4 linked regions of the Oreochromis niloticus genome follow. The protein of the gene in region 3 interacts with the protein of the main gene of each other region in a pairwise test. Links are inferred from orthologs where the notes say so. Each region holds a gene or a part of one and is shown on either strand. Other genes may lie near its edges. The genes, in order: grhl2b, nfyc, lmo4b and rbbp8.

Region 1 (7,068 bases), on a different chromosome or scaffold from region 3:
ATTAGATGACTTGCTACTAATGTAACGGAAAGCAATTTTTGAAGAAATGGCCTTTCGTATTAAACAGTTTTCATCTTTTTAACTTTCTACTTTTATTGCACTGAGCGCCCTTGTTTGTTTCCACCTGCTGCTGGAAACGTCGACCACCGTGTTGGGCATATTTTCATGGTGTTTCGAGCAAGACGAGTGTTCACTGACCTCTTCTCCTGTTCCTCTGTAATTTCAGTGGCTTTGGAAAGTTGCAGAAGTCTCTTGTCTTTGGGCACCTACAGGGAAAAGGAGGACAGTCGAGTCACTCTCGGTCAGCCCTATAAGGGAGCTGTGACCTGTCACCTGTTTACGTCAGACCTCTGTGCTGTGTAATGTTTCAGTCGGTTCAGTTAAAACAGTTGTCATTGTGATCTGAATTCATTTATTTGACAAATTTAAATAGAAAGGAAATGTCCAAAATATGTTAATTAATATGCTGCTACATTTTAATTAAAAAAAGAGGGGAGGAGCCTCTGATTGGCTGCCCCTCACAAACAAAAACCTCTGATCAGCAGGTGAGTGGCTGAGATGGCCATATTGGGGATATCTGATCTCAGTGACATCATAAACGTCAAGCAGTAGAAAAACTGTCTAAAACAGAGTGTTTAGAGCTTTCAGACAGGGCGTACTTGCACACACACCGAGTTCATTATCACTTTTGCTATGTTGAATGTTTCATTAATGGTACAGATGCATGAAAGAATCAAAGGCGAAGGACAACAGATGCTCTTTATGAGGGATTTGGGCACCTTGTAGTAGTCGTAGAGCAGACCCAGGGCGTTGGCACTGTCCTCGTCTCCGTTGATGCTCATCATCGCCTTGGTGGCGGCTGTCAGCGGGTTCTCCAGGTATGACCGCCACGCCTCATCCTCGCTGGTGTACGCCCTCCTCTCGTTGGGGACCACCACTACCAGACGTTTGCTTGAGAAGCACAGGGATTTAAACACTGTTTTAAACATGTACAGTTTTTTTTGGTAGGCGATCAAAAAAACATGACAACTGTTATTTTCCAGGCTGAACTGTGATGGATGAACTGATTAGCTAGAGCAGCGTTCACGCCTGTCTGTTTTTCTGTGTGTGTTTTCCTCTTTGCTCTTTAGGCTCACTTAAGATCAGATCAGAGACCAGTTAAATACACACAGTGTTGCCACAACATCTCTCTGAGCTCAGCCAATCACAGGGAAGGCTCTGAATGTGGCAACTTGCACAATGAAATGCTCCTGTCATGTCTGACAGTGGCCATTTTTCATTTGGCTAAAATGTTTGTGGCTTCAACACACTTCTTGACATTTACACAGGAAATATTAATGAGGATTTTTTCTTTCATGCATCTCTGTGTAAGTGTATGAAAGATCCGCTTTCACTATTTGACATTCGTCCCTCCTCCGACCAGTGATGCAAACCTTTATACAGAAAATAAAGGGCTAACTGCAAAAGAGAAGCTCCACTGTGTCTTCCTTATATTGTATCACACAAAAACGCACGATGGCATGCTTTCTTTACCCGGCTGCAAATAAATAATGCTCCTGCCTTTGGATCGAGCTTGTATTGTGAAAGAGGGTCGCCGTAAAACAGACGTCTGAGCGATGTTTAGGAGTTTTGGAGCTTTAATCTGCTGGGTTTGAGTAAATGTTAACGCTGTGTGTCAAAATAGAGGCAGACACCTGCTGCTTCCACTGATGCGGGAGACAGCAGCTCTGCAGGGAGACTGGAAAATCAACTACTGGCAGCCACACTTTGACAGCCATATTTGTTGCAACATATACTTTTAATAATGATGATAATGGATGAAATAATAATTGATTATCGTGTAAGGAATGATCTAGGTAAATGAAATAAGGCATAAGATTATTATTAATGCAGTTAATCCCTGTTATAACACTATTAGAAACTATGAAATTTTACAATTTAAATTACACTGGATTTGGAGAAAGCAGGACACCTGTAACATCTGGTCTGCATTATCAATATTATTATCATTGTTAATGAAAAAATAACAATTTTTATTTTTATTTTTCAAGAGCAAAGTCCTTCCGACTCTATTAAAATTTTAGCGCTGCAGTCCAAAGGTTGATTTCTTTAAAAATTGTTAATAAATAAAGGAGTTTGTATATCCCGTTAGAAAACAACAGAAGAGGCCAGCAGGCTTTACAAACTATTCCCATTCACAGGCAGATCCAACACGCTCTCTAGGCCTTAAATAGGAGGAGGGAGGGAAACGATGCAATGATATCCAAAAGCAGCACAAAAAAGTATATTTTTAATTAAATTGTTAAAAAAAAAAACAGTCCTTGCACCCTGAAGGTTTTCCCCATTAGTCAAAAATGGCGAATTCACCTCTAATGAAATCCACGGCGCCAAGCTTGTCAGCTTCTCCTCCAGGCCCCAGAACAGCTTCATATCTGTCATAAACAGTCCAAACGGAGCGAAACCGGTACGCGAGCCCCATTTTACACCCCCCCCTTATTTCTTTTTCTTTTTTTAAAAAAGTGTGTGTGTCCTAAACAAAGGTAATCCCGGGTTTAAAGCAGCTTCGTTTTAATAACAGACTCAAAAGAAAACACTTGAACAACTTTCTCCCCCCCGCATGTAGAAATCAGCAAAGATCCTCTCCTCTGGCTCGATCACTTACTTGTCTGTCTCCTGTGACATATTTAGCTTCCTCTACGATTCTTCCTTGTGAAACTGGACTTTCAAGTCGGAGCAGGTAATAGAGTGAGAGTGAGTTGCCAGAAGTTGGGCTACAGGTAAGTCGACTTTTTCTCGCCCCGCTTCTTTTCTCCCTGCCCCTCTCTCCCTCTCTCCTCTCTCTCTCTCCCTGTGTTTGTGTTTGGCTTGCCTCTCCTCCGCTCCTTCCACCTGGGCAGGTAAGGCAGCAGCCAATCCCTCTGCGTCTCTCTCGCTCACTTTACACGTAGATTAAGGTGACAAACACCAGCGTGTCATACTGCGGCGCATTGCGATATTTGCCTTGACTCTCTTTTAATGGCAGCCGGTCAACTTTGTGGCTCTGAATTCTTTCACAGTCGAACAATTGAGGCTGAGGGCGAGTCTGCCCGCTGATTGGCTGCTGTCGAGGGGAGAGGAGATCCGATTGGCTGCTGGGGGCAGGTAGAGGCCCACCTCACCTGCGAGCGAAGCGAAGACGCCGCAGTAACACAGAAAACGGAGACACACAGGAAACAGATTAGATTTACGGATTTTTAAGGCTTCAGATATGATTTGATTTGATTCTGTTATGATTGGTTATGTTTGAAACAGGAGGACTCGAGGCATGACTGCACAGCCTCAAACTGGCCACTCACTGCCTCAGGCTGTCTTTCATTCCCCCATCGGCTGATTTTACTTCTGGCCCCTCAGATTTCAATAGAGACTCGTGTGTGTGTGTGTGTGTGTGTGTGTGTGTGTGTGTGTGTGTGTGTTCCAGGTAATCTCAGAGCAGAGCGAAGGCAGGGAGGAGCCCTGTCATTAGCTGACACAATGCCATTGTCCCCTTAATGAATCTATTGTATAAGGAGATCCCAGTGTTTGGGATTACCCTGCCAGAGCAAACAGTGTGTGTGTGTGTGTGTCATAGAATGACTGTGGAAGTGGTCGGGTGGGGCACAAACAATATGTAATTGCTGAATATAAAACTTCATTTTTCTTTTTTTTAATGCAGATGGTTGATGGACACAAGTGTCCATTCACACAGCAGAGACACAGCAAATAAAACTATACTGTATTACTCAGTATATAAACAATATGTCGACTTGTTTGGTCACAGAGAAACAAAAACAGGATAAGTGGTAGGAAATTAATTATTTGAGTACAATTCTGATATATGCTATTTTTGAAAGCTGTATAAATGGTAAAATAGTTTAAGATTTTAAAAATATGAGGCTGTAAACAGATTTAAAGCTTCTTTCTTTTAGGTTATGACCCCCTGGAAATGAGTTTTAATGTGTATTGCATTAATGTATTTAATACCATGAAGTCTAAGTAAAGGAGAATGATGACAGGTAATCTAACCCTATACTAAGTCCTGAGTGTCAGAGAGTCAAACATATGAATCCAACTGACATGCATCAAAAATGATTTCCTTTTATTTCCACCTTTTTTCCTTTTTCTTAGCTCTCACAGAGTTACTGAGTTACAAAGACTGTAAAACATGTTCACAGTAACCTCACCATAATTTGCTTTTACAACAAAAAAATTGAGTATAATTTAATTTACATTGTTACATCGTATCGTATACTTATAGTCGCAGGATTAAGGAGTGTTGCTTTATTTAAAATGTGCATATTTACCCACAAAAAACTGCAGTGCTGTGCACAGTCAAAATCTGTAAAAACGCAGTTCAGTGCACCAGTTTGAAGCATTTTTATTTATCCATGCTACTTTTTTACTGTTAATTTTCCTGTATTTTTTTTAAACCTCTCATTGAGTTATACCATTTACCATTTTTGGAAATTTCCATAAAAACTGGTAATAAACTGGCAGAAAGTGACTCTGTGCTGAGTGTTGCTCATATATAAAGAAAATCCCAGCAGACCTGTGATTCTGTTTAATCAGCATTACTGATGCAGCTTAAAGTATAAAACTCTTTTATTTTACTCAAAGAGAAGTTTAAATGAATGTATATCTATATGTTATTATATCATATTAGTGGTATTAGTATTTAAGTAAGCGTATAAAAAGTGAAATTCTTCTGCTGCCTTTGTTTTCTCCTTTGCATTTCAGGGGGAAACAAACGACGTTTTATCCCCTTCGAACCCGAGCAGTTGTCTACGTCTGCACCTGAGGTTTGTTGGAGCTTGAGAAAGGGCTGGGGAGACGTTTCCAAACTGGTCTGATGGAAGTGTTTGCATGACAACGTGCCAGCCTTTTGCTTATGAATGCTTTCGGGCGCCTTTATATGGAAATCCAAAAATTACGTTTCAGATTCAGTTAAACCGTCAGCAGTGTGTGTGCTTGCATGTGTGTTCCTGTTTGTGCGTCTGAGGATGCATGTGTTTGCGTGCCCTGCTGGTGATTACTATCCTCCCTTGTCCAATTTGTTTTACAGAGCACCTGGGCCTTGGCTGAGCTCTCTCTGTGTACGTGTGTGTGTAAATGGGACTGCTAGATAAATACAGGTGGGGTCCCTTTCTTCTAACAACACACAGACTGAGCGAAAGAGCAACAGAGAGACAAAAGGGAAGGAAATAAAAATGTTCTATTCAGCTCTGTTGCCTACCTCCTTCCAGCTCTATTGCTGTATTTTAAGATGCATGTGATTAGAGGAGAAATAGATTAAACAGCACCACAGAGGTGCAAAATTACAGCGAAGCCTGTTACATTACACAAGAGCAGCTTTTACCTAAATGCACCCAAGTCTGTGTTGACTCATAATCCATGCACGACTCATTAACGCTGCACAGAAAACAGAGTGAGATCAAAATAATGGTTGTACATGAGCTTTTCTCTTATCTTTACCTTCCCCTACATGACTCTCGCCTGCTGGAATCTCAGCCATGGGGCGAGATGACAGCAGAAATCGTGCGAGGGCTAACGTACAAGCTGCCACAAGCAGGCGAGAGCAAGACTGGAAAGTCAGGGGCCACGAGCCACCACATACTTTTCGTGTGTGTTTGTGTGTGTGTGTGTGTGTGTGTGTGTGTGTGTCCAACTGTGAGGTGAAAGGTGTATCCTGCATTCCAGGCGTTTTTTCGCAGGAGTAGCAGCTTGCCTGGACTTGGCCGGGATTTTGTGTCTGAGTCTACCTGTTTGAGTTGAGAAGCCCACAGCTGAGAAGGAGACAGAGGTGTGGGTATGTGTGCATGTAGGAGGGGGGATGTTGACATTCAGATGGAGGTTAGATCAAGAGGAGGTGGAGGGAGGGGATGGATGAATGACATGAGGGGTTACAAACACATGCTTGAACATGAATGAAGTCAAACATAGAGGATAAGGTTGACTGCAGCATGGGTACTCGAATAATATTAGCTTTGGTGTCAGAATTAATACCGATGACAACCATTAAGCTTCTTCTGGTTATCCAGTTCAAGGTTTGGAGGGGATCATAGGCCTAAAGGGTACACACTGGACACGGTGCCACCCAAAATTGAATAAGCAGTTAAGAAAATGGATGGATTGACTTTGTCAGTGTAACGAGCCAATATTGGCTCAATGCATATTTATTATTGGTATGAACTATTAGAAATGTGATGAAATGATTATCAGGTGTTGTGTTTGGTTTGGTTTTTTTGCAAATCCTACTACAGAAAAGTTGGGGTTCATGGGGCTGGAGGCTATCCAGGTGTCTCTGTGCTGCTGATGCAGTGAGTGTCATTGATGCCAGCTCTGGCCTTCTTGCATGTCCTCCCTGTGTCTGCACGCATGGGTTTCCCTCATACAATCCACTGAGAGACTTCTCTGGTTAACTGGTGATTCTAATTTGAAGTGTTTCTTTGTCTTTGTGTGATAGGCTGGCAACCTCTGCAGCTTGCCTAATGACATACAAACTACTGCTTTAAGTTGCTCCCATATTCACCAAGGGTCACCAGAGCAGGTAGGTCTGCATTTTTGATTTGGCAGATTTTGACACCAGACACCTCACAGACACCAGACACCAATCGGGGCATTTTCACTCATTAGGTGAATGTGTGACTGTGTAAACCACCACACTGCAGAGCCACAACAGAAAAGATCCTTGAGGTAATTTAGAAACCACAATTTCTCCAACATTGCAGCGCTGACGGTCTGCAGCACATGCAGGCAGTCCAACCAGCCTTAAGCCCAATTTTTCTTAGTAATAAAACAAAGCTTTACAGTGGTACTGACACAGTGCCTTTCTACTCAATTCGAGCACACAAAGTGCTTCCTGCTACAAGTCACATTCACCCAATCACCCAAACATTCATACAGCACTTTTCTCTTTGTGTGAGCACTTCTGGTAACATTCACTCCTTGATGGATGCTTTAGGGGAAATTTGGGGCTCTTGCTCAAAAGATACTTCAGTGTGTGAGCTGGAGGAGGCACGAATCGATCCGCTGAATTTCTGATAACTCTGTAAA
Region 2 (7,846 bases), on a different chromosome or scaffold from region 3:
CCACATGATTTAAAGTACAAAAGCATACTAAGCAGACTCCCTGTCTCATACCTGTGCACGGTCTTACATGCACACCCACACACATGCACATTTTGTCCTTGCATTCTCAGTTATCCTTGCTCACAGTCACAGGTACACACCGAAAACATCTAGCCTCCAGCCAGCCTACCTCTAACAATGAGATTCACATCACTCTTAATATTATTCAAACAGAGGAACAAATATATCTAGATGCTTGGTCATGCATTATGTATTCAGAATATTAATTAGCTAGACAAACTCCATTCAACAAATTTTTTGACTCATGTGAACATTTAGTGAGGCAACTTAATGCAACCACTATAAATCCCATGACACCCTACACAGTGTCAATCAAATATACACAATAAACTATTCTGTGCAAAACAAATCAATAGAGAGCCTTTGTACAAAATGGAACAATCAGCTGACTAGATAGCAGTTGTGGAAGAAGGCAGAGAGAAAAAAGAAAAAGAAAAAAAGAAAGAGTTCATTTGACTCTCATCCTATTTGTGGATAAACAAGACTTAAGAGATATGGGTGAAAACCCATAAACAAAGACAATGTTGTCTTGACCCCAAAAACTGTGCTCACAGCAACTTCCACAATGGAAACGTCATCAAAAAAAACCACGTCAGCAATGTCACACAATGTCCTTCTTGTTAATTCTCCATTGCTTAAATGTGCATACTTTCGACACAAAAACCTTTAGTGTGCAACTCAAGAGAGTGATTTTAGTACTCATGTGCACATCTCATGATGTTTAATGCACCACCTACGACGTGAATGCTTCTACTTCTAATGGGCAAACCTGTTAAAAGCTTAGAGAGTAAACTGCTGAGATACGACCAAGTGGCGGTGCAGCCCGAAGGTTAAGCTTTAATAAAAAAATAAAAAATACAGACTGTAGAGAGGAACACATCCAGCTACACAAGAGTCAAGGAAAGATAATAAACTGCCCTATCAATGAAAAACCGGGGTGGGGGGTGGAGTGGGGACCGGAAGGATGGAGAAGGACAGAGAGGAGAGCTGCTACAGGAAGGGAGGGGTAGAACAAGTGGAGGGAGGGCGAGAGCACAAGATAGACTCAAGAGAAACAAAGCTAAATGTTCCCTTTACTATTTTTGTGAGGAGCATGGGGACTAGAGCAGGTACTACAGACATCCAGTTAATGATTAGAGCAGAGCTGCACAAAGACTAATCTCTCCACTGCTGTTGCCATGCTCGAACAGCTCTCTGTAGCTGCATTCAGTCTACCCAAAATGCCTCAGTAATGACACCTGGCAAGGTCACCACAGAAATGAGACCTTCCCATGACCTGTACTGCCCATAGCAGGAACATGTTTGCTTTCTCTGACGCTGTTTAGAGATAAACATGCACCAACCAGACGTTGGGTTTCATAAACACAGCAGCTACCCTGAGGGTAGCCAGGCCAAGCCATGCATTCACCTGCAAACATGGAAAAACACATGAACACCTGCAAAACGACATGGTAAGCTGGGCGACTTGCACACAGCTTACTTAAGCTGTCTAAGGTGCTCTAATATCCCAGGCTTTTTAAATATGACCTCAACTGCTCAATTAAACCTACACACAAATGATGACGTAAAGCATACCTCCTCTAGAGAGATAAAGTATACTAAGTTGCACACCGTTTTTGTCCCGCTGATAAGAGCTGATTAAGCTCTCCTATTCTTTATTAAGTTCTTATATTCGTGGGAACACAACAAAGAGACTGTATTGTTTTCTGCACACAGGTCGTAGTAAGAATGGGGTGAATATCTGTTAGGTTTAAAGCATAACTAAACTAAATATTAACTTGGTGCATCTTCATGTTGTGTGACTTTGGTTAGTATGGTTGAAAATACAGCTGTATTCATTAATTAAACATTGTGTGCAAGATTTTTTTTTTCCAAGTAATGAATAGTTTAAACAAAGGCATGATATAGTCATCACAGGGAATTCACACGAGGAGTAGAGCAGCTTTGCGCTTTAACACCCCAGCATTTAGCACGGAGGTTGACTTTAAATAGTCGCTACATTATAAGGTGTTTGGGTTCAACACAGCGGCTAAAAGGAGCCAGGGAATTCAATGCTATATTCAACGCTAGCATACGGAAGCCGGTATATATTCGTCACACAAAGGATGCTAAATAAACTACAAAATACTGAGATGCACTGTAGTGCTGTGGTACCCACTGTGAAATGCTTAACGGAGCAGGCGTAGGAAGACACATACAGCATACTAGCTAATAGGATGGTCACTGCTGACCGTGACTTTATGCTAACGTTAGTGGAGTTAATGTTAGCTGGCTGGGGATGCAGACTGATGAGAGCTGTACAGCTCAGCGTGTGTAATTTTAATTACCAGCTGACAGCGAGCCCTGCCAACATATGAAAGTTTGCAAAGGTTTGCAATGCTAGGAAGAAACAGTCTAACCAATAAAGACAACGTTTGGATCTGTCCTTCAGACCAATCAAACCTCGGACTAGATTCCACCAATCAAGGTTTTTAGGGCTAAGTTCGTTCTGCAACTGGCGCCATTCGGGGTCAGGCGCAAATAGCCAGTGTGTCTGACAGTCGCTCAGATATGAGCCAAAATGGTGGACACAAAACATCAGTTTCCTGAGCGTCCGTGATCCTTTCAGCGGGCCACCAATAAGCGCCTCAGAGAGCGGGGAGGGAAATGGCGCCTATGTTCATCTTCCAAAACAATCGTCTATTGGTCAAGAACAGCAAATGAAAAGAAGCGAAGTAATTACAGCTACCTCCAGCCAACACGGACAACTTTCATGTAAACACTCCACAGATAAATGAATTTTAATTTCTTACTCACTTTCTTTATCGGGTTCGAAGTGAAGTCCAGCTCAGCGTATTATTTATTTTATTTAGCCTGCAAGGGGAAACAAGATGGCTGCTATTCGAACCGGAAAGAGTCCAACGCGATGACGTAGAGGTTACGTTCCCCGAGAAAGCGTCAGTGTGAGGTTTTTTGTTTGTTTGTTTTTTATTATTATTTGATTCACTAAACAGTTAATTGCTCAGGTAGTCTATATATCTCCAAGTCCTCATTTATAGTAAAATTAGCAAAGTGACTTGGAAAAAACAAATACATTTTATATATACATACACAGATATATACAGCATATATGCATTATATATGAACCGCTGAAGTTCAAACTGAGCACTGGAATGGGGAAAAAGGTGATTTCATTGACTTTGAATGAGGCATGGTTGCTGGTCTGAATACTTCAGAAACTGCTGATCAACTGAGATCTTCACAGTCAACCAAAAAATATATAGATCCAGTGAGTTCTCTGAGAGAAAATGCCTTGTTGATGTCAGTGGTCAGAGAACAGACTGTTTCAAGCTTAGAGGAAGGCATCAGTCACTCAAATAACCACTCATTAAACACAAATTATGCAGCAGCGTATTTCTTAATGCACAACACGTCCAACCTTGAAGTAGATGAGCTTTAGCTGCAGAAGATCACATTGGGTGCCACTTGTCTCAGCTAAGAACAGGAAACTGAGGCTACAATTTGCCCAGGCTAAGCAAAATTGGGCAACAGAAGATTGTAGACCAGTCAGTGTTTTCCTCAGAGTCTCATTTTCTGCTGCAACATTCAGATGGTAGGTTCAGAATTTGGCATAAATATGAAAGCCCTTCCCTTTATAACCAGTGTTCCCATCTTCTAATGGCTGCAGCCAGCATGACAAAGCACCACGAAGCTCAAATCATTGCAAATTAATTCAGTTAATTCAAAATAAATTCACTGAAAATATGAAATACAATGATGGCAATAAGAGTATTACTTTTCTGGCTGCTGGTCAGTAAGGAATTTGAAAAAAATGAAATGATTACAACTGCAGTAGACAAGTGTTTTAATTCTTACACCAGACGTCAACATTTGATCAACCAAGGTCTTTGCAAATATCCAACACAAACAACAACAAAAAAAAAAAAAAACAGAAAGAAAGAAAAATGAAGGGAAAGAAATTTAAACCCAAATCACATTTTAAAATCTAAGCTTTACCCTTAAAACACTGCATTATAATACATGACTATTATGGAGATTGCAGTGATGACATTTATTTCCTTGCCACAAGTTCCAGGAGGGCGGAGGTGATTTTGTCCAGGTTGTTAGAGTACCGGGGTCCTCTGGGCATCCTGGATTCTTGTTCCATGTGGAGGGGAGGTGCAGAAGAGTGAGAGTCGAAAAACTCTCCAACAGGAGGCTGGTAGTCACGAGACGGCAGGGATTCTGGAAACCTTTCAGGATAATAGGGCGGCTCATCTAAGCAGTTTGTATGAGGAGCTCCAGATTCCTCTGAAAAAACAAAAAACAAAAACAAAAAGAGGAATGAAATTGAATTACATGAAAGAAAGTGGAATCAGGCACACTTCCTCTGACACAGGGAAGCTGAATATACAACTTATTGTTTATTATCTTATTTAACGATGCAATCAAATTCATTTATTACATAAAATCAAAAGGTGAATTTAGACACCTTTGCAAACTATGCCTCATTATACATAAATTGAACTAAACTATCCTAAAAGATACCACAACAAAACTCAAAATACATTCAAAGAAGAAAATCCCATCAATTTTCATTTAAACCTCAAAGTTCATAAGGTTATTTTATTAATACGTCAATAAATTGGCATTCGATCCATACAACAACACATACAGCACAATTCCAGACAAAAGGCGTGATTATACCCCTCCCTCTCCTGTTTATCAGACCTGAACCATGCCTGTTGTTAATGTGATGAACTATACCTGTGGTTATTCTGCTACAGACACATGTTCATGTGGAACTGACTTGAAAGCACAGAGCTGGGAACATCACAGCCTGCAACTGAGCAGATAAATTCGTTTTTAACTGATGAGATATAGAAAGGATTTTGAAATGAAAAAAGCAGCCAAATGATGATTTAAGCCACAGAAGAGGATCTTTCAGCAGGACAATAATTCACAGCCTACCAGCTGCCTGCTGAAAGAATATTTTCTAATAGAGGGGCCCTCCCAGAGCCCTGACCCAAATCCCACAGATCACCCGAGGGATACCATGGAGAAAATTACGTCAGCTGGTCGAAGCTCTGGTTTGGATGAACTGAGAGCCTTGCTGAGTTGAACATTAGGGAAAACTTTGCAGGTATTATAGAAACTGATCTACCCTACCTTTCTGGTACAAGCAGCTCTACTAATGGATGAAAGGGTCTTTAAAGAAGCAACTACTGAGTGGCCTTCTACTGTCTGCCTTTATTTTGAGCTGTATATTGATTTAAAACCTACCATACTTATTTTTGCCTAATATTTTTCAAGAAAATTATGCTTGTGTTATTTTTATTGATATCTCTAACTTTTATATAAGACTATTGAACCCTAATGGGTTTAAATAAACTGCACTGTGATGTACTATACCTTCAAAGCGGCCTCTTTTTGAGTATCTGGAATCTTCGTGTGCAGGGGGGGGATAAACATTGTGCCGCTCCTCTGGAAGATGCTCACGCTGCCTCCAGTCTCTGAAGTCGAGGTCTTCTGACTGTCTGTGGTGCGAATCATCTCTCATGTTCCTCTCGAACGGCGGCTGTCGAGGGTCCAGCTCCATGTTGCTGTAGTTTCTGGGGATCCCTTCTCGACCGTGGCTGTTCTGCTACCATGACAAAACCAAACGTTTTGTTAATATAAGCAAAGTCTTTGTGTTCTTTTACTAATATTATATTAAAAAGACAGGCGGTGTGCAGAATGACTCATACCACAGCTTTCTCCATCTTTTTCGTTTTGAATTCTTTAAGCAGGTTGCAAAGTTTACTTTTCAAGAAGTCAGCCTCTTCAGCATTCTCAATTTCAATGTTGCTCTAAGAAAATGTGAAAGGGGAAAAAAAAAAACAACACACTGAGAACTGAGTGAATAGTTGCATAACAAAAACATGACTCACAAACATGTGCAAGTCGCCAATAACGACTAATTATCTTACCAGCATATCAAAGACGCCCTCCGACTCAGAGCCTCCTCTTTGGTTCATTTCAGGATGATGTGGACCCTAAAAAAGCAAAAGGTCTTGCGTCAATAAAGATTTGTTTTACTGGACATTACTCTACTGTGATGTTAAAATAAACTACCTGTGGTTCTCTGTAGAGGTCTGAAAATTGTCCTCCACTCATTGGTGCACTACCTGGCCTTGCGTCACCTCCAAACTTTGGATTTGGAGATCCATAATTATCCCCATACCTGAAAGCAGCAATCACACATGTAAAAAAAAAAATAAATAAAAGCAGCCCACAACACTTTCCAAAAAAAAAAAACAACTACAATTTTTACACTTACATTTCCCTTGTCCCTTCCACTTCCTCTGGAGTAGCATCAGAGAAGCGGCTCTTTCTTTTCCTTTTACCGTGAACATCATCTTCGGCGCCTCCTTTCAGGAACCGCCTGAATGGCTCTGGGATGTTAGAAATGGTTCTGCCAACATCCATGTGTCTCTGTGAGGCTGGGCCTCCAGCTCTCCTATCAACTGCCTCATCTTGATGCGCCTCTCTCAACTCATGACGATAATCTTGAATTATATTGAACAAATTGTCACGTGATCGGTCCCCCTCCATAGATGGAGAGAAGTTCCTCCTCCTGGCTTCTGGTTCACTTGATCCCTGTCTACCTGCTTTGTTCATACCGTCGTGCCTATCAGCTTCCCTCTCCAGGGACCACCGCAGTTTATCACCTTCAGGGTACATGGCCTGGGAGGGTGAATACTCAGAACGACCGTTCCCACCCCTGACATCCTCAGAGTGGAAATCCTGAACAGACTCTCTTTCTGGATAGGCTCTTCTATAAGGAGGTGCCCCCTCAGGGTAATAGTCAGACTGACCAAGGCCACGAGGCAAATCCTCCCTAAAATCATACTTGGGAGCATCACCTCGCTCAAGTGCCAAACTTCTTTGTGAATCTCCACCATATCCCTCTTCATACTGATGACGATAATCAGAGTCCATGTAGCCTTCTCTGTACGCATGGCCTTCCCTGAAATCCGACCTTCGCGGTTCATCTCTGGTGCGCTCATTGCTAAGCCTGTTCTCCCGCTGGCTGCGCCTGTCTACGTTCATGTTAGGTTCATTCGGAGGAAATGCAGATGCGTTTGGGTAACTTGAGGCATGCTTCCTTCGGTGATAGTCCTTGAGTTCGGGTAGGAGTGGTGGCAAATCTTGTGGGTTCGTCTGCTCCCTGTTTTGCCTCTGCCTTTGGAAAGCTAATAATCAAGTAATAATTAGAGAAAAATACAACCAAACGTTTTCCCAATGTGTCTGTAACCTTTCCTTGTATTTTAAAATTACTTTTTAACCATGTTTAATATCAATCAAGTTACCTCTTGAGCTGTTTGATCTACTCTCGTTCCCCTTTTTGAACAATGACTGAAAAAAAACAAGAACAAAACAAGAATAATAAACATTTACTGTATGTAACAAAATGTATAGAATTTTAGAAGAATGTAAAATATGGTGTGTAATTTGGGTAATTCATCTGGCATACCTTTGGAGTCCCTCTACCATCCTGTCTCTCTATTATTTCTGCTTTGGCGCGCATGATCTTCCCCCCGAGGGTTTGTACAGAGGGTCTATCCCAGGTCACCAAGTCAGGCCGCTTCAATTCCTACAGAAAGGGAATGTGATCTCTCTTTGCTTTAACATCTTATTATAAAGGAAAACAGAATAACAAAGAAGGTTTTAAGTAATGCTCTGAATGCTTTACCACATATTTCTGCCTGTGTTTGCGTCCAATCACATGACAGACCATTTCTGCAAGGACAGCTGACTGATTACA
Region 3 (7,109 bases):
CCCAAGGATATTTGGCATTCAAACTGGGGAAGCCAGGAATCAAACCACTAACCTTCCAATCAGTGGATGACCTGCTCCACCACCTGAGCTACAGCCACCCCTACATATGACTGATGCATTATCCCCACTTCCTTTCACTTTACAAAAGAGAAGCTACACTGTTATGGAAATGAACACGTGTGCTGCCATTCTGCTCCTGTGACCAGATTCTGTGCAGTAGTGACTCGAGGGTGGAAAACACTGCCTGACTTTGAGTGGTCAGTAAGAATGCAAAATTGCCATATAAATCTTGGGCTATTTACTACTGAGTACCTCATACTTGGCCAAATGTGAGCACAGATGTGCTATGACATCCTCAGTTAAAGTTGAATTAAAAACGTTTGGTGTTTACTTACAAATAACCCATTTGTAAATTATTTTGGTACCAAAAATAAGTAAACATCAGAAACAAACAATACTATATTGTCTAGTATAGTCACATGAATATCATGCATGATTGTGCTATGATCTGCAAACTCTTCTTTAGCTTTGATTATGCCACATGTGCCAAACTCAAGACCATGGAGCCAAATTTGTCCCTTTGCAAAATGTTATCTAATCCATATATTATTTTAGATTCTTAATAAAATTTTAAGAAAAATTCATGATGAAAAATCTATTTCTTTTACTTATGAAGCTTAACTCATGTGTATGAGATACACCTGTTCAGCTGCTTGTTAATACAAATATATAATCTGCCAGTCACATGGCAGCAACAAATTGCATTTAGGCATTGTTAAGATGACCTGCTGAAGTTCAGAATCTGAGAGAATATGGAAAAATGGTGATTTAAGTGACTTGATGTAACATTGTTGTTGATGCCAGATGGGCTGGTCTGAGTATTTCAGAAAGTGCTGATCTGCTGGGATTTTCCCACATAACCATCTCTAGGGTTTATAGAGAATGGTCTGAGAAAATACGAGCAGCAGTTCACTGGGTGAAAATGCTGTGTTGATGCCAGAGGTCAGAGGACAACTACCAGACTTCTTTGAGCTGACAGGAAAGGAACAGTAAGTCAAAATCCACACACCGAACAACACATTGAACCTTGAAGCAGATGGCCTACAGCAGCAGAAGACCACACCTGGTGCAACTCCTATCAACTAAGAGCAGGAAATTGAGCCTACAATTCACATGGGCATTCTCAACATTGGATTTTAGAAGACTGGAAAAACGATGCCTAGTCAGATGAGCCTCGGTTTCTGTTGCCACTTTCAAGTGGTGGCGTCAGAATTTGGCATGAACAGCATGGAAGCACAGATCCATCCTGCCTTGTATCAACATTTCAGGCTGCCGGCGGTGGTGTGGGGAATATTTCTTGGAATACTAGTACCAGCTCAGCATCATTTAAACACCATAGTCTGTCTGAGTATTGCTGCTGACCATGTGCATTCCTTTATGACCACAGTGTACCCATTTTCTGATCGCAACATGTCACAAACCTCAGATCATTTCAAACTGGCTACTTGAACATTACAATGAGCTCATAATACTCACATGGTCTCCACAGTCACCAGATCTAAATCCAGTAGAGGTTCTTTGGGACGGTGTGCAGATTCCCATCATGGAAAGGCAAAGGAGCACTCTTGTGGCCTGGGTGAAGTATGTGGATCAAACTGTACATGAGAAGGCTATGCAGGGCACGCATTTTTGATCGAATTAAAGAATTTGAAGAAAATATATATATATTGCCCTTGATGAAATTGACTTTGACAGCCCTGGATTATATAATTATAATAACTTTAACATTTTGCAAACCTTTGCTATTTCCCCAGATGCACAAAGTTGTGTGTATTGGTGTGTTGTGTCTGATCCAGAAAAAAGCACTTTAGATGTTCAGGAAATTGGCATCAATCAGTTTATCACTTTCAGAAGCATCCTGAATCAACATGTTTTACAGAGAATGTGGACTTTAAGTGTTCCTTTAATGCCTCTTTAGGTAAGTAACCTTTTACTCATTTAGCAGATTTCACTCAGAGATCTTTGTGCCACGCTGTGTGCAGTCCTAGAGCAGCTTCTCTGTATCTGCAGATAATCTGAACTCTAATCTTCCCTGATCAGTTGGCTCAGCTAAACGAACATCATTCTCTTTTACAGACAACATATGCAGTAAAGCGAGGGCAACGTCGTATCGCAAATGGCGGACGAGGCCACATGTAGCTGCGCGATCTCAGAATGTGAGCCTGAGAGAAAGTTGGAGTGACCTGGAGGTTTTGTGTAAACTCTCAGGCTGAAACCGGCCTCTCTGCGGCTCAGTGTCACGTCAATACACGAGAACACAGAGCGAATCCCAGGCTGAAGTTAACCACCGTGCTCAATGCGGCTCTCCTGCTTTTTCCCACAGGACAAGCAGCTTCATTATGAAGCACCGTGGTCTCCTTTTCATCTCAGTGAGATCACCCCTGTGGGGAGTATCAACACTGTGAGCCACATCTGACGCTCTCTTGTCCCTGTTTAAACACTGAAATAGTGTTCAATCATATTGTTGTTGGCTGCTTTCTTCTTTTTTTTTGTCATAATGCAGCTGCTTGGAAACTGCCACAGGACTCAAAGATCTCAGCGGAGAAAGGAGGTGATCAATTTCTGAGGGAACCCCCACCTACCCAGCCACCCACTCTTCTCTCCCTCCTTGTCTCCCTGACCCCTCCACCTCCTCCTCACTTCAACTAGCCATAATTATTTTGCAAAAGAGCTCCAGAAAAAGAACACGCAGAGTAATTTCTCTTGCCCAGTTATGAAAAGCTCATTAAAAAAGGCCCGGAACAAACAAAGCTTTTCCTGTGAGGCCTCTTTTCAAATTCATTTCATAATTTTCCTCTGTTTTAATCATTTATATCAATTAATCATTCCTTGGTGGAAAAGACATTCTTTGCAATCTTCCGTGGGGTTTTTTTGTTCTGCTGAGTGAGAGGCTTGATGAGAATGTCAGGAGAATGTGGCTCAAACCAAGGCGGAGTAGCACTGGCTTTGCCAAAAGGGAAATCAGCTTGATGCAGCGCGATCTCTTCGGAGCTGCAGGAATAATTAAACAATTAAAGTCAAGAAAAAGATCATCTTTATACATCTGACGTCTTTCTAATGAAGCCAGGGGCATCTTATAAGAGAGCCGTTTTGTCATGTAAAACCACTCAGCCTGCTGAATCTCAAACAGGGAAACTTTTCTCCAATAGCAACTGTTTTTGGTTAAACTGAAGACGTCACTTGTTTGCAGCTTTTCTTTACAAGGAGAGCAGCCCCCCCGCCTCTCTGTCGTGGTGTCGCCACCATATACATTTCATTTTTATTAAAAAGCGTCACAGTTACCTTCAGTTGATGGGATCTCTGATGTGTCACGTGATGGTGGAAAAACTCAAACTGAAGGAATTAAAAGGATCTCAGCCAAATCAGGTCTTGCAGATTAGCCTTAATAGGTGTTGAAACCAATGACCCGAGGCTTAATGAGGTTGTAAACGACAGCAGGCCTCGCTGCGATTTTTTTCAGTGACAGACGATGGCGCCACTACGCAGCTATTAGGGGGGCTTGATATTTCCCAGAGGTTGGAGTCACCCTCGGTAAACTAAGTAGTTATTGAATGTCAACTAATTAAAGTCGGGCGTGAGATGAATGCAGCCTACAGGATGTTGCTATGCAGCTTTCAGTAGTCCTGACAATGGAGACAGTTTAATCTTTATATTATTACAATGCTTCATATCCAATCTCTCCATGTCCGAGTATTATGGACGTTTGGAAGAGATAATATATTTATCACGGTGATATTGAAGCTCCTTAAACAGGACACTGAGTTTATTCTACGGATTTTCTTTGGCGTATAAATCCGCTCTAATCTGGTCTCTGCCCCTGATTTGGCTTGTATACATTGGACTGCTGCGTGTCTCTTCTCTCCGGTCCATCTCACCTCCGTTTCCATCCTTCTCTGTCTGCGTGTCCGAGTCAGTCTCGCCTCCCTCTGATTGGCCAGAATTGTTATTCCTCCTAAATGGACCGCGCGCTGATTGGCTGCCGAGGCCCTTTCGTCACGCGGCTGAAGGGGCTTTTTTACTGGAGGTTTCTTCCTGTCAGCGACACATGTAGAACAAGCAGCTAACGGGACCCAGAGACCAGAGCAGAGGACAGTCAATTACAGCTTCTCTGCCTGCCTCCGTGTTTCTGTTTTTCCTCCCTCCCTCTTCTCCACGCACTTCCCCAGCTCTGTGGACTCAACGGCATGCGCAGACCTGTAATTACGGCTTGTGATGGACTCGTTTTTGTTCCAGCGAGAAAAAGAGCACTAAAAGCGGCAGCAGCAGTTAAACGGGAAGCATCCAGTGGAAATACTATCTGATAACTCCATTTGCTTGCTGAAGAGCCGAGCTCGAGGGTTTCGCTGCCGCGCGGAGCTGGAGGCCGACGACCGCGCTCGGTGGTGCGTCCGCTTTCTACCTGTACTTTTTTGGGGTACTGTTGTTGTAGCCTACCTGTTCGCCTACCTGCCATTCAAGCCATCAACTTTACAGCCATTACCCTGAAAGGAGACAAACGAGGTGGGTGTTTGCCGCTGGTACAGCTGTTCTGTGTGTTTGCGCTGTATATATATTTTTATATGTATATATGCTACCTGTAATTGTCCGTAGTTTTCAGAGTGGAAACAGTCGGTTTTGAGTCCTCCCGTGTCTATTTTAAGAATGCCTGCGCTCAGATGTGACAGCCGACATTACACTGGTCTTTTTTTTAAGCACTTAGCTTGTAGTAATTGAGATGTGAAGCTGCATTTCTTTTATTTTCTATTTCAAAAACAAAATCAGGCAGCAGGCAGCGGACAGAAGCTTTTAGCACATGGCTGTCTGATATGTTCCCCCCCCTCCGTCTCTCTCGCTCCCTCTTCTATTTCCATGACTTGGTCTCCAAATTGCTTGCCCGTGTAATTACTTGAGTTAGCCCATTTAAGTTAAAAGCCACCCCCCTCCTCTTCCCCTCCCCGTCCCCTCCATCCCTCAGCGGAAAAAAAGGAAACTCCTCTGAATGAAACTTGATGATGGCCCCGTCTTGTTTATCCGGGAGTCACTTTCAGGTCGGCTTTTTTGATTCATCTCCTTTTAGATTTAATCAGCACTAAGGTACGCTGTGGTTTGTCCCTAAGAGCCATCGCTAATGGGCTTACTGAATGCTTTTCTCTGTGCACCCCCCAGCCTCCCTCTTCCTAACTCTAATTAGCCTACCTGTCTTTCAACAAAGATTTGGCTTTATCCAGGCGAGGCTGCCTGACCAAATTGGAGAGGATTACATTTGAAAGAGCCCACATTAATTTGGTGGGTGAAACAAATGCCTGCATTTCAGTAGATTAGAACATTTAACATCATTACAGCGTGTGCACATCGCTGTATCAGGGCTGTGGTGTAGATGCGTGATCATATACTTGGCTGAGGTCAAAGGCTCATGCAGCATCACAACTAATGTGCCAAACATCAGCCTCTCTTTACTCGCTCCCTTGAGTTTTGCTGTGGACATCACCTCTTTGCATAGTGAGGAATTGTGCGCCATTTAGAAATTCTTAGGACAGCTCAACAAAGGCCCGTGCTGTGTAATTGTTCCTCTGGCCCCACAGTGTTATCAGTGAATAGACATTCATCACAAGAGGTCTGATGAAGCAACAGCGTAGAGATCAAGGGCAGATTAATTCACTAAGTGTCTTGTGGTTGTCTTGTAGCAGAGATCGGGCTTCGCAGCTGCAGATACAACAGTATGTTCAAACAGCTGATAACTGATCAGTTATGACAAATGTGTCAACTCATAGCTGTGTAAGTCCTGACCCTTGTGTGCACTTAAGCAGTCCTTAAGTGTAAAAGAAAAAAAAGAAGTCTGAACAGCAACCTGTCATGGTTTCTTCTGTGTGTTCTCAGGTACGATGGTGAATCCCGGAGGCAGCAGCCAGCCACCACCGGTGGGCACAGGTTCTCTGTCCTGGAAGCGGTGCGCCGGCTGCGGGGGCAAAATTGCGGACCGTTTCCTCCTTTACACCATGGACAGCTACTGGCACAGCCGATGCCTCAAGTGCTCCTGCTGCCAGGCCCAGCTGGGTGAGATCGGCACATCGTGCTACACAAAAAGTGGCATGATCCTCTGTAGAAACGACTACATCAGGTGAGGAAATCACCAGGTTGTGTGTTCAGTTTTCCGTATTTTGCTGTTGCAGCCTTACTGAGCAAGTCAGATCGTTTAAACATCTTGCATGAATTTAAAAGGAAAAACTGTGCTTCTCATAGCCCGTAGAACTTTTCTTCTGGATTATATTAAGCTGTGATATTAAATCAAGTTAAAAGCAGGACTAAGCTGATGTAGATCTGTCATGGTCATGCAACCGTCCGCAAAGTTTGGTGCATTTCTGCACGACATGTGTCTCAAATTGTACTAACGTCATCAGTGCTCATTAAGGCGTCCTGGTTGAAGGCTCTTTGGCCTGCCCTGAAAGACGCCAAACGTGGCGCCATGTTGACAGAGCACAAAGCAAAAGGAGAGAGCCTCTGCAGGTCATAACGCGGTCTGTCCTGTTTTACAGTCAACAAAAGAACAGAAAACTGGTCCTAAATGACTTGAGTTAGCTCTGCAAGAGACACAAACAGGATCTGTGTTCAGCGAAGGCTGTTTTATTCTAATTTTTTTAATACAGTGGAAAAAGGATCATTTAATTAGCAAAGAGAGCCTTTTTAAATATTCAAGTAGGTGTGCCAGACACCCAACCAGAGCTTGTTGATGACACTCATTCTGGTCATGTTGAGCAGTCTTAAGTGACGAGAGAAGGTGCAGTTTACTGAAAGTTCACATGCATCCTTGACTCACCCTCATGTGCTAGACTGGTATTGATTTTTAAGCCAATCAATTAGCCATTTGCTAAACTTGAGTTTCTATTCATGCAAGACAGTCAGAGATTCCGTTTTTATTGTTATATCATAGAAATGCATGCTCATATTCTAATGGATGGAACCGCACTCCAGTTAACATACAACGCTGCTATCAAATCTGCACGGATAATTCAAAATCTAAAGTGCGCCTGTGCGCTCTCACACCCACCTCATAAAAAGGATGGGGAAGTCAA
Region 4 (7,122 bases), on a different chromosome or scaffold from region 3:
TAATGTGGAGTAACATCTCTGAGGAATGTTTATAGCACCTTGTTAAATTTAAGGTTTGCCCCGAACAACAGAATGGCATCAAAAATGCAAAATCAAAGGTCTAGCTGAGTGTATTAATTTTCCAAAAATGTCTTTCACAAACTGCTCACGAACATTGTGTAGAGACTATTTGCGCTCGTCTCTCTTTCTGCTTTAGACAGTGCTGAGAGCATTGGGAACCATGTTGACACCATTTTTAAAAATAGTGCAAGCACCTTCTCTGTGTTATGTTTAATATCAAACAGAATATATAGTAATGCCAATACAACTGTAATAGGTGCATGTCAGCACACAGTATCAGAAAATGCTTATTAGTCTGGTCTTCGCTTTGTTGTTACCGTGACCTTGCAAGGTCATCTCATGCAGACCGCTGTCAGTCTTCACTGAGGGAGAACGGTTATTATTTGTGGTCCCTTTTAGCTGTGTCGTTAGGTAACAGTGGTAGTTTGGCACATGTGATGAAATATAAATGTAATGAAATGTGACGAAGCTACAGTAACAGCAGTCTAATAAATGGACAGTATGTCAAAGTCTAAGCTCCAAAGAACACACACCAAACCAGTTTACATGCTTAAGATTTCTGAAAGCCAAACTGAAGGTTTTGTTTAAACCTTCTGAGGAATCTTTTCACAATCACTGTGCTGTTTCTGGAACAACAGGGTCACAATCGACAACAACAGAAAACTTCATATTAGCATGTCCATCCTTTCCACAAGAGCTCTGCTGGCTCACAGATCAGCAGTTGATTTCCACGCATGATGTTTGCATCGTTCCAACCTGTTTGTGCTTCTCTTATTTACAGCATCTGCAATTAGACAGCCACAATGAACCCAGTATACAGCCCTGCACCAACAGGGGTCCCCTTTACCAACACTAAGGGTATAGGTTATCCAGGTAACCTGAAGCATAGTGGTTTAAGAAACAAGCATAATTACAAGAAAATATCTCCCAGCATTGAGAATACTGTTATATTCTTGTTTTGTTTCTGGTTTTGGCAGCTGGATTTCCTCTAGGATACGCAGCAGCTGCTCCAGTGTACACTCCCAACGTCTACGCAGGAGCAAACCCAGGCTTCCCTAATGGTGAGAAGAAAGTAACGCTGAAATCTGCTGGAGTTTATCTGATAGGTCTTGAAACACATCTTCCTGATGCACTTCAAAAGAGTCAAACGGTTACAGCGGACTTCTTTTATTTGAATTAATTATAAATATAACGTAATAAAGAATAAAAGTTCCAAAGAGACTCTTAATAGCCCCAAAAAGTGTGTGTGCTTCTTTTCTATGAGGGTCCTGTTTTACTGAGCTGCACAGCCAGTGTTTCTACGCAGACTTCAGCTATTTTGTCCCAAAGCAAACGGCACTAATGTGAGCCGTCTTCCTCCCTCTCCAGGCTATGCTCCAAGCGCTCCTTTCAAAGTGTCCTGCTCTCCCAGCACAGGGACCGTCCCACCATACTCCTCCTCCCCAAACCCCTACCCAACTGCTGTGTACCCTGTCAGGAGCACCTACCCCCAACAGAACCCTTATGCACAGGTCAGTCCTCGCTTTTAATAACACGCCGTCTCTCTTCATCCTGGTTCAATGCTTGAGCTGTAACGTGTGGTTGTTTGTCCACCAGGCACTAATACCTTCACAACAACAAGGCCCTTACTACACACAGGCTCTGTATGCTCCACCGCCTCATGTCATCCATCACACGACAGTGGTCCAGCCCAATGGGATGCCTGCAGCAATGTATGCTCCGCCTATCCCTCCTCGCAACAATGGTGTTGCCATGGGCATGGTAGCCGGCACCACTATGGCCATGTCAGCTGGTGAGCTGCAGCGGTTTATTGATTCTTATCCAGGATACAAATGTGTTCGATTTGTAGTTATACCTGTGGCTTTCACTTCTCAGGAACTTTGTTGACAACTCCATCGCCAGCGCCCGTCGCTCCCCACCCAGTCACGATGCCCACATATCGGCCTCCTGGCACACCCAGCTACAGCTACGTGCCCCCGCAGTGGTGAAGAGAGAGAAGCGTGAGTATGTTTTAAAAGGATCACAAGTTTGGTCAAAGGTGCAGATTAAAGGTTTATGTTTACACCCGGTGTTCTCTCTGCAGGTCCGGAAGATGGTAGATATGCATTCACACTCCAGTGTTTTTCTCTCGTGGTGACGACCTGCCCCGCCCTGGCAGCGTCCGCTACCAATTCTTCTTCTTCCAGCATAATGTGAATCTAAAACCCAACTACATAGAGTCCCATTTGGATAAGCAGGGGGTGACAAATAGGCCCATCCCCACAACCCCTATTAATGGAATAAGGCTGCATTCCATACCCCCACGCCCCCACCCCCTCAGCGCCAGCACCTCTACAAACCTGCTGCATATCTCACGTCAAACTGCAAAGCCTCCATGCAAACTCTATGTGGACTCTCATGCAGGTTTTTATAGCTTAAATTCTTATGTAGTGAAAAGGGAGTTTGGAATAGTTTTTTTTTTCCTTTAATTTGGGGGATTAAATATGATGTTGAATGCATGTGTATATATAGATTTACAAAGTAATGCTAGCTCAATTCTCCCTGCTGTGACAGATGCAAATTCAATAAAAGGCACAAATCCAAAGGAACTTAGAAAAAAAGAGTAATAATCTGCAATGCTGAATCACCAGTGACTATGTCTTAAATGTGAAAGAAAAAAAAGACAAGAAACGTTTATTCATGCAAAAACATACCTGCGCCGTCCATCGCGGGCCAAACTGTACTATTTTTCACCGCTTTGTGTTTAGGTAAGTGGTTTTTATCGTTTTCTTTCAGTGATGCAGTGTTTGCATAATGTCTTACCATTTTTGTATTGTAGGAACAAAAGATGGGACTTTGAGTTTGTGCCTCTGTGACTGGTGGCCAATCCAACACTTTTACTTTTTCTGGCCTGTTAAACTTACTTTTTTTTTCATTTAAACAAATGGTGTTTCAGTTTCTTTCTCCCCCCCCCCCCAAAAGTCTGAAGCTGCTCCTGCTTGGGTGATATATGATGTATTCACTTATTTTAGCCAGAAGTGTTCTTGGTGGGGAACAAGTATAGGAAGTTATTAGAAGTCAATTGCACCCATTTAATAAGAGTGGATGAGCAGGAAGTGTGTGTGTGTGTCTGTGTGCGCGTGTGTGTGTGAAAACGGGACTCGAACGGAAACCATTCTGAATGGTGCCATACAGTGCAACATGCTTAGAATTTTAGACTTACATGTCACTCTAATGAATTTACTCTTAGGCAGATTTGAAGCACTACATCATTAAATCACCGCTAAATGTGGACATGTTAGGGCACCGTAATGATATTAAACTCCATTTGTGAATAGCACTACTGAATGAAGGCACTAATTCCAAACGGTTTGTAAAAGATATTTGACCTTTTCCGACATCGCTCGCTGTCTTACCTCAAGTCTCCAGGCTAAAAATCCACCAATGTCACTGTTTCAGACATGCTTTTCTATGTTGCCTCGGTCACCTCAGTTAAACATGTTTTGTAAATGTTATTTTTGTGACTTTGGTTGCTGTTTTGTATTCTAAAGAAAGACCAAAAATAAAAACAAATATAAGAATAACCTGTGTTGTGCATGTCTTCTCGCTGGGTGTGTTGGGGCAGCCAGAAATGATGACAAAACAAAGAAGAACATGAAACAAAATATATAATATGTTGGACGATTCAAACCGGTTTGAAAGGCAATATTTGGCATGACCATTGTTTTTTTACGCCCACATGGCATGCCAAATTTTCAGGTAATGGCTCTTTGGGAATCACCTTGTCGGTGGAAAAAATTTCTATTTCAAACCTGGAACTCAAAATATAAAGAAACACTCAGGACTTTTACACAGTACTGATTATGATATTGTACTCTAGTCCCCATGGCTCTGCTCTATATAGTATTATAGATTTTAGACATTTTATTCTTAAAGTTACTCATTGGTAATTGAGGTCAAGTCAAACAACTTTCTGTAACTTAATTTCATAAAACAAAATTTTAACTATTATCATTATTATTGTTGTTGTTAATTGTTTAGGGTTAGAGAAGTAGCAGTATAAACCACTGGCTGCTGTTTAACAGAGGATGGCGTCAAAGCTTTCCTACCTAAATTGGAAAACGAAGAAGAAGATTTCCCAGGTTGCAGTTCGGCGCGCGAATTTGGATTTTGTTATGGTCAAGCCGTAGACTGTATCGCTCAAACATGGTACTGTACTGTTAAACTATTTTCTCTTTGACAGAATATCCTAGTTTTTATTCTTTAGACGTGTCGGTGTAAGTCTGAGTCTGTTCGCGGCTGTCTTCTCATGAGGTCGTGTCATTAAGTCTAAACTTTGCATTTATTTCTTAATTGTAGTCTAAGTGGTTACTGGGAGAACAAGCCAAAAGACAGAGCTGAAGTTTTATTAATGCTTGTTCTAAAAGCCAATAAATAATAAGTAGTAAATATGTGAGTGTTGAGGGGGTGAAAGTAATTTTCTTTTTAGCTAATTAGCACTGAGTTTATGCGCGCCGCCATGTAGCAAAGCTAAAGTAGTCAAACATTTAACTTCCCGTGCTCACATTGACAAATGCGAATTAACATTAAGAAACACTAAAGTGAGCTGAAAGAAGGAATTTATTATTGTGAGGCAAACATGAAAACAAAGACTGCTGATTTGCGTTGGCAGGAAGAGAGCAGAGAGGCGCTTACAGAGAGTTTTGGAAACGACAGGAGCAGCGGGACAGCCAAATCAGCTGATCGCTTTCAAGACTTGTGGAGGCAGCTTGGAGAGTGTCACCAAAATGCACTTCAGGGTAACTGACAGTTTGATCTCACCACGTTCATGCTGGCTTTCATGTCTATAATCCGAAGTTCAGAAGCTAAATGACAACACATGTCATCATTGCACTTGTTGCTGTTTCTAGAATTGGAAGCAAAAGTAAGCAAGCTGAAAAAGGAACGTTGCCTGTGAGTATGTTGTGTCACTTTGTGTTTAAGGAGAAGGACACTGGAGTCTTAGTAAATTATTTATGAAGGGTAAAGTGATGTGTTTGTCCTCTACAGAGATGCGCAGAGGCTTGAAGTGTTTTACAATCGCAACCAGCAGCTCAAGGAGCAAAATAAAAACCTGCAGGATGACATGGCTCTCCTGGAGGAAAGGTAAATTACCCAAAGATGAATGCACTCCACTGTTATTCCCTTTGTAGCAAATGTTTTCGTTTGTTTGTTTGGAATAGATGTGTCTTGTTGAACCTCTGTTACATTTTAACTATAACTTAGGATGGGAGAGCTGCAGTTGGGCACCGATGTGGGATTTCTAATTAACTGGAGCAACATGATACCAAAGACAAGAATAGCCTTTTCTGATTCATTGCATGGATGCTTCAGATTCCCCGCAGACTGAAAGTTCACAGCATTTAGTGTCTTGCATTAAAACAATATGAAATATAAAGATTGCCAGCTGTGCTTTCCCTTTCCAGGCTTCGAGCAGCAGAGTGTGATCGATGCTCCATCTTAGAGGAGAACCTGAAAAACAGTCAGCAGCAGAATCTGCATCTTATCGAGAAACTTAGTGAGTGTTTTCATTTCAGTGTCCAACCATTAATAGCCCTCCCTGATGTGCATACACATATGCAGATGCAATCTTTCACAACAATAGTATGTTATATAATATGACGACTAATATACTAGAATGACTGTGGGGAAAAAACAAAACAACATTTCTTTAAGATTCTCAGTTTGTTTAAGAACAGAGAAAAACATTTTCTTTGCAAACCTTTTTTCCTCAGAAAATGAAAGAAACCTGCTGGAGGATGAAAACGATAAGCTGCGAGCTGAGCTGCAAAAACTGAAGAGTTCTCGGTAAGCTGTGTTGCATTCATGTTTTTGTTCACAAGAAAAATATGAGAAATGTTTTAAAAGGTTAAAGCAATAACTTGAAGTACTTTCAAGTTTATCAGTATCTCGCATCATGGAGGAAGTTTGACTACTCTTTACAGACTTGCATTGAGGTCTGGATTTTGACCGGGCCATTGCACAACACCCTGACTCTTCTGTTTTTCAGCCACTCTGTTGAATGTAGATTTGCTGGTTTGATTCAGATCATTGTCTTGTTGCATGAGCCAGTTATTGTCAAGCTTTAGCTGTCAGATGGATGACTTATACTTTGGTATACAGAGGAGCTCTAGGATGACTTGGTCTCATCTGTTCCAGAGGTCTTGTGGTTTGTTTATGAGCGTAAGCTAGCTATACTGTCATGTTCTTTTTAGAGAGAAGCAGCTTTCTCCTGAAAATGAGTCATCCCTGTTCATCTTTTTCTGACTGTACTGTCATGAACTTTAACATTCACACACTGAGACCTGTGGAGTCTGAGATGTAACCCCTGCTTTCTTATTTTATTGGGGGGTTTTTTGGGTTTTTTTTACAGTTTCTGAGCATTGTGCAGTCTACTCATGAAGGTGTCTCCTGACATTGATACGTCTGTCTCACAGGGACTGTTCTTGATTTGGTTAGATATTGTGAACAGGTTTTTCTTAGCCAATCATCCACTGCGCTCATGTACTTAAGATGTCTTCAGTAGTCTTTCATGTGTTTTGGTGTTGCCGAGCCTGGTTTGTGCATTTATTCTTTTTACAAATGCAAGTTTATTCTACTGCTCCGATAGGTTTTTGTTTTTATGGCTTCTTCCATTTGCGCCCAGATTTTAATTAATTAATTAATTTTTTTAACCTCATATTAAAAGTTTCACTGAAAAGTTACTAAATAGATTTTAAATATTTAAAATGGGGGGCTGTGTTATGATTCCTGCAAATAGCTGTAAACAGTACAATACTTTTGTTAAACCTCTTGAATTAAAACTTCTATAAAAATGTGTGTCACCTACATTGGTCAGACATTTCAGGAGTGAACAATACATTTTCCCAAGCTGCCACTCAGTATTATTATTTTTACGTGTTTATAAGCTTTTTGGTGCTAACAGCCCCAGTTTCTTCTGTGGCCCCTTGGGAAAATAAATTTCCCTCCTACAGGTTCGGTAAGTTTTAAAGTTTCAGTTTCCAGTGAAGCACTACACGTGTGCTTTTCTTTTCAGGTCTGAAT

The links.
Region 1: the proteins of lmo4b (region 3) and grhl2b interact in binary tests that used the Homo sapiens proteins (3 or more experiments, as listed by UniProt). The two-hybrid records come from large-scale screens. The link is inferred for Oreochromis niloticus from reciprocal best matches to the Homo sapiens genes LMO4 and GRHL2.
Region 2: the proteins of lmo4b (region 3) and nfyc interact in binary tests that used the Homo sapiens proteins (3 or more experiments, as listed by UniProt). The link is inferred for Oreochromis niloticus from reciprocal best matches to the Homo sapiens genes LMO4 and NFYC.
Region 4: the proteins of lmo4b (region 3) and rbbp8 interact in binary tests that used the Homo sapiens proteins (3 or more experiments, as listed by UniProt). The link is inferred for Oreochromis niloticus from reciprocal best matches to the Homo sapiens genes LMO4 and RBBP8.

The regions. Positions count from the first base shown.
Region 1 is NC_031985.2:19,830,369-19,837,436, reverse strand, and holds the start of grhl2b (grainyhead-like transcription factor 2b), read right to left. Parts: upstream 3,024-7,068; 5' UTR 2,683-3,023; coding exon 2,663-2,682; intron 2,655-2,662; exon of another isoform or gene 2,368-2,654; intron 952-2,367; coding exon 780-951; intron 267-779; coding exon 199-266; intron 1-198. UniProt on the Homo sapiens protein: Transcription factor playing an important role in primary neurulation and in epithelial development. Binds directly to the consensus DNA sequence 5'-AACCGGTT-3' acting as an activator and repressor on distinct target genes.
Region 2 is NC_031985.2:22,027,913-22,035,758, forward strand, and holds the start of nfyc (nuclear transcription factor Y subunit gamma), read right to left. Parts: upstream 3,006-7,846; 5' UTR 2,857-3,005; intron 1-2,856. Other genes in the region: uncharacterized protein si:ch211-13c6.2, read right to left, coding at 4,112-4,350, 5,452-5,683, 5,787-5,888, 6,009-6,074, 6,154-6,262, 6,359-7,274, 7,392-7,437, 7,556-7,675 and 1 more. UniProt on the Homo sapiens protein: Component of the sequence-specific heterotrimeric transcription factor (NF-Y) which specifically recognizes a 5'-CCAAT-3' box motif found in the promoters of its target genes.
Region 3 is NC_031986.2:31,964,662-31,971,770, reverse strand, and holds the start of lmo4b (LIM domain transcription factor LMO4b), read left to right. Parts: upstream 1-4,102; 5' UTR 4,103-4,560; intron 4,561-5,916; 5' UTR 5,917-5,921; coding exon 5,922-6,157; intron 6,158-7,109. UniProt on the Homo sapiens protein: Transcription cofactor. Plays a role in establishing motor neuron identity, in concert with MNX1, acting, at least in part, to disrupt LDB1-LHX3 complexes thereby negatively modulating interneuron genes in motor neurons.
Region 4 is NC_031974.2:26,341,200-26,348,321, forward strand, and holds the start of rbbp8 (DNA endonuclease RBBP8), read left to right. Parts: upstream 1-4,107; 5' UTR 4,108-4,245; coding exon 4,246-4,248; intron 4,249-4,270; exon of another isoform or gene 4,271-4,353; intron 4,354-4,711; coding exon 4,712-4,838; intron 4,839-4,949; coding exon 4,950-4,992; intron 4,993-5,088; coding exon 5,089-5,184; intron 5,185-5,504; coding exon 5,505-5,596; intron 5,597-5,813; coding exon 5,814-5,886; intron 5,887-7,114; coding exon 7,115-7,122. Other genes in the region: fam168b (myelin-associated neurite-outgrowth inhibitor), read left to right, coding at 864-933, 1,038-1,121, 1,429-1,571, 1,657-1,852, 1,936-2,048. UniProt on the Homo sapiens protein: Endonuclease that cooperates with the MRE11-RAD50-NBN (MRN) complex in DNA-end resection, the first step of double-strand break (DSB) repair through the homologous recombination (HR) pathway.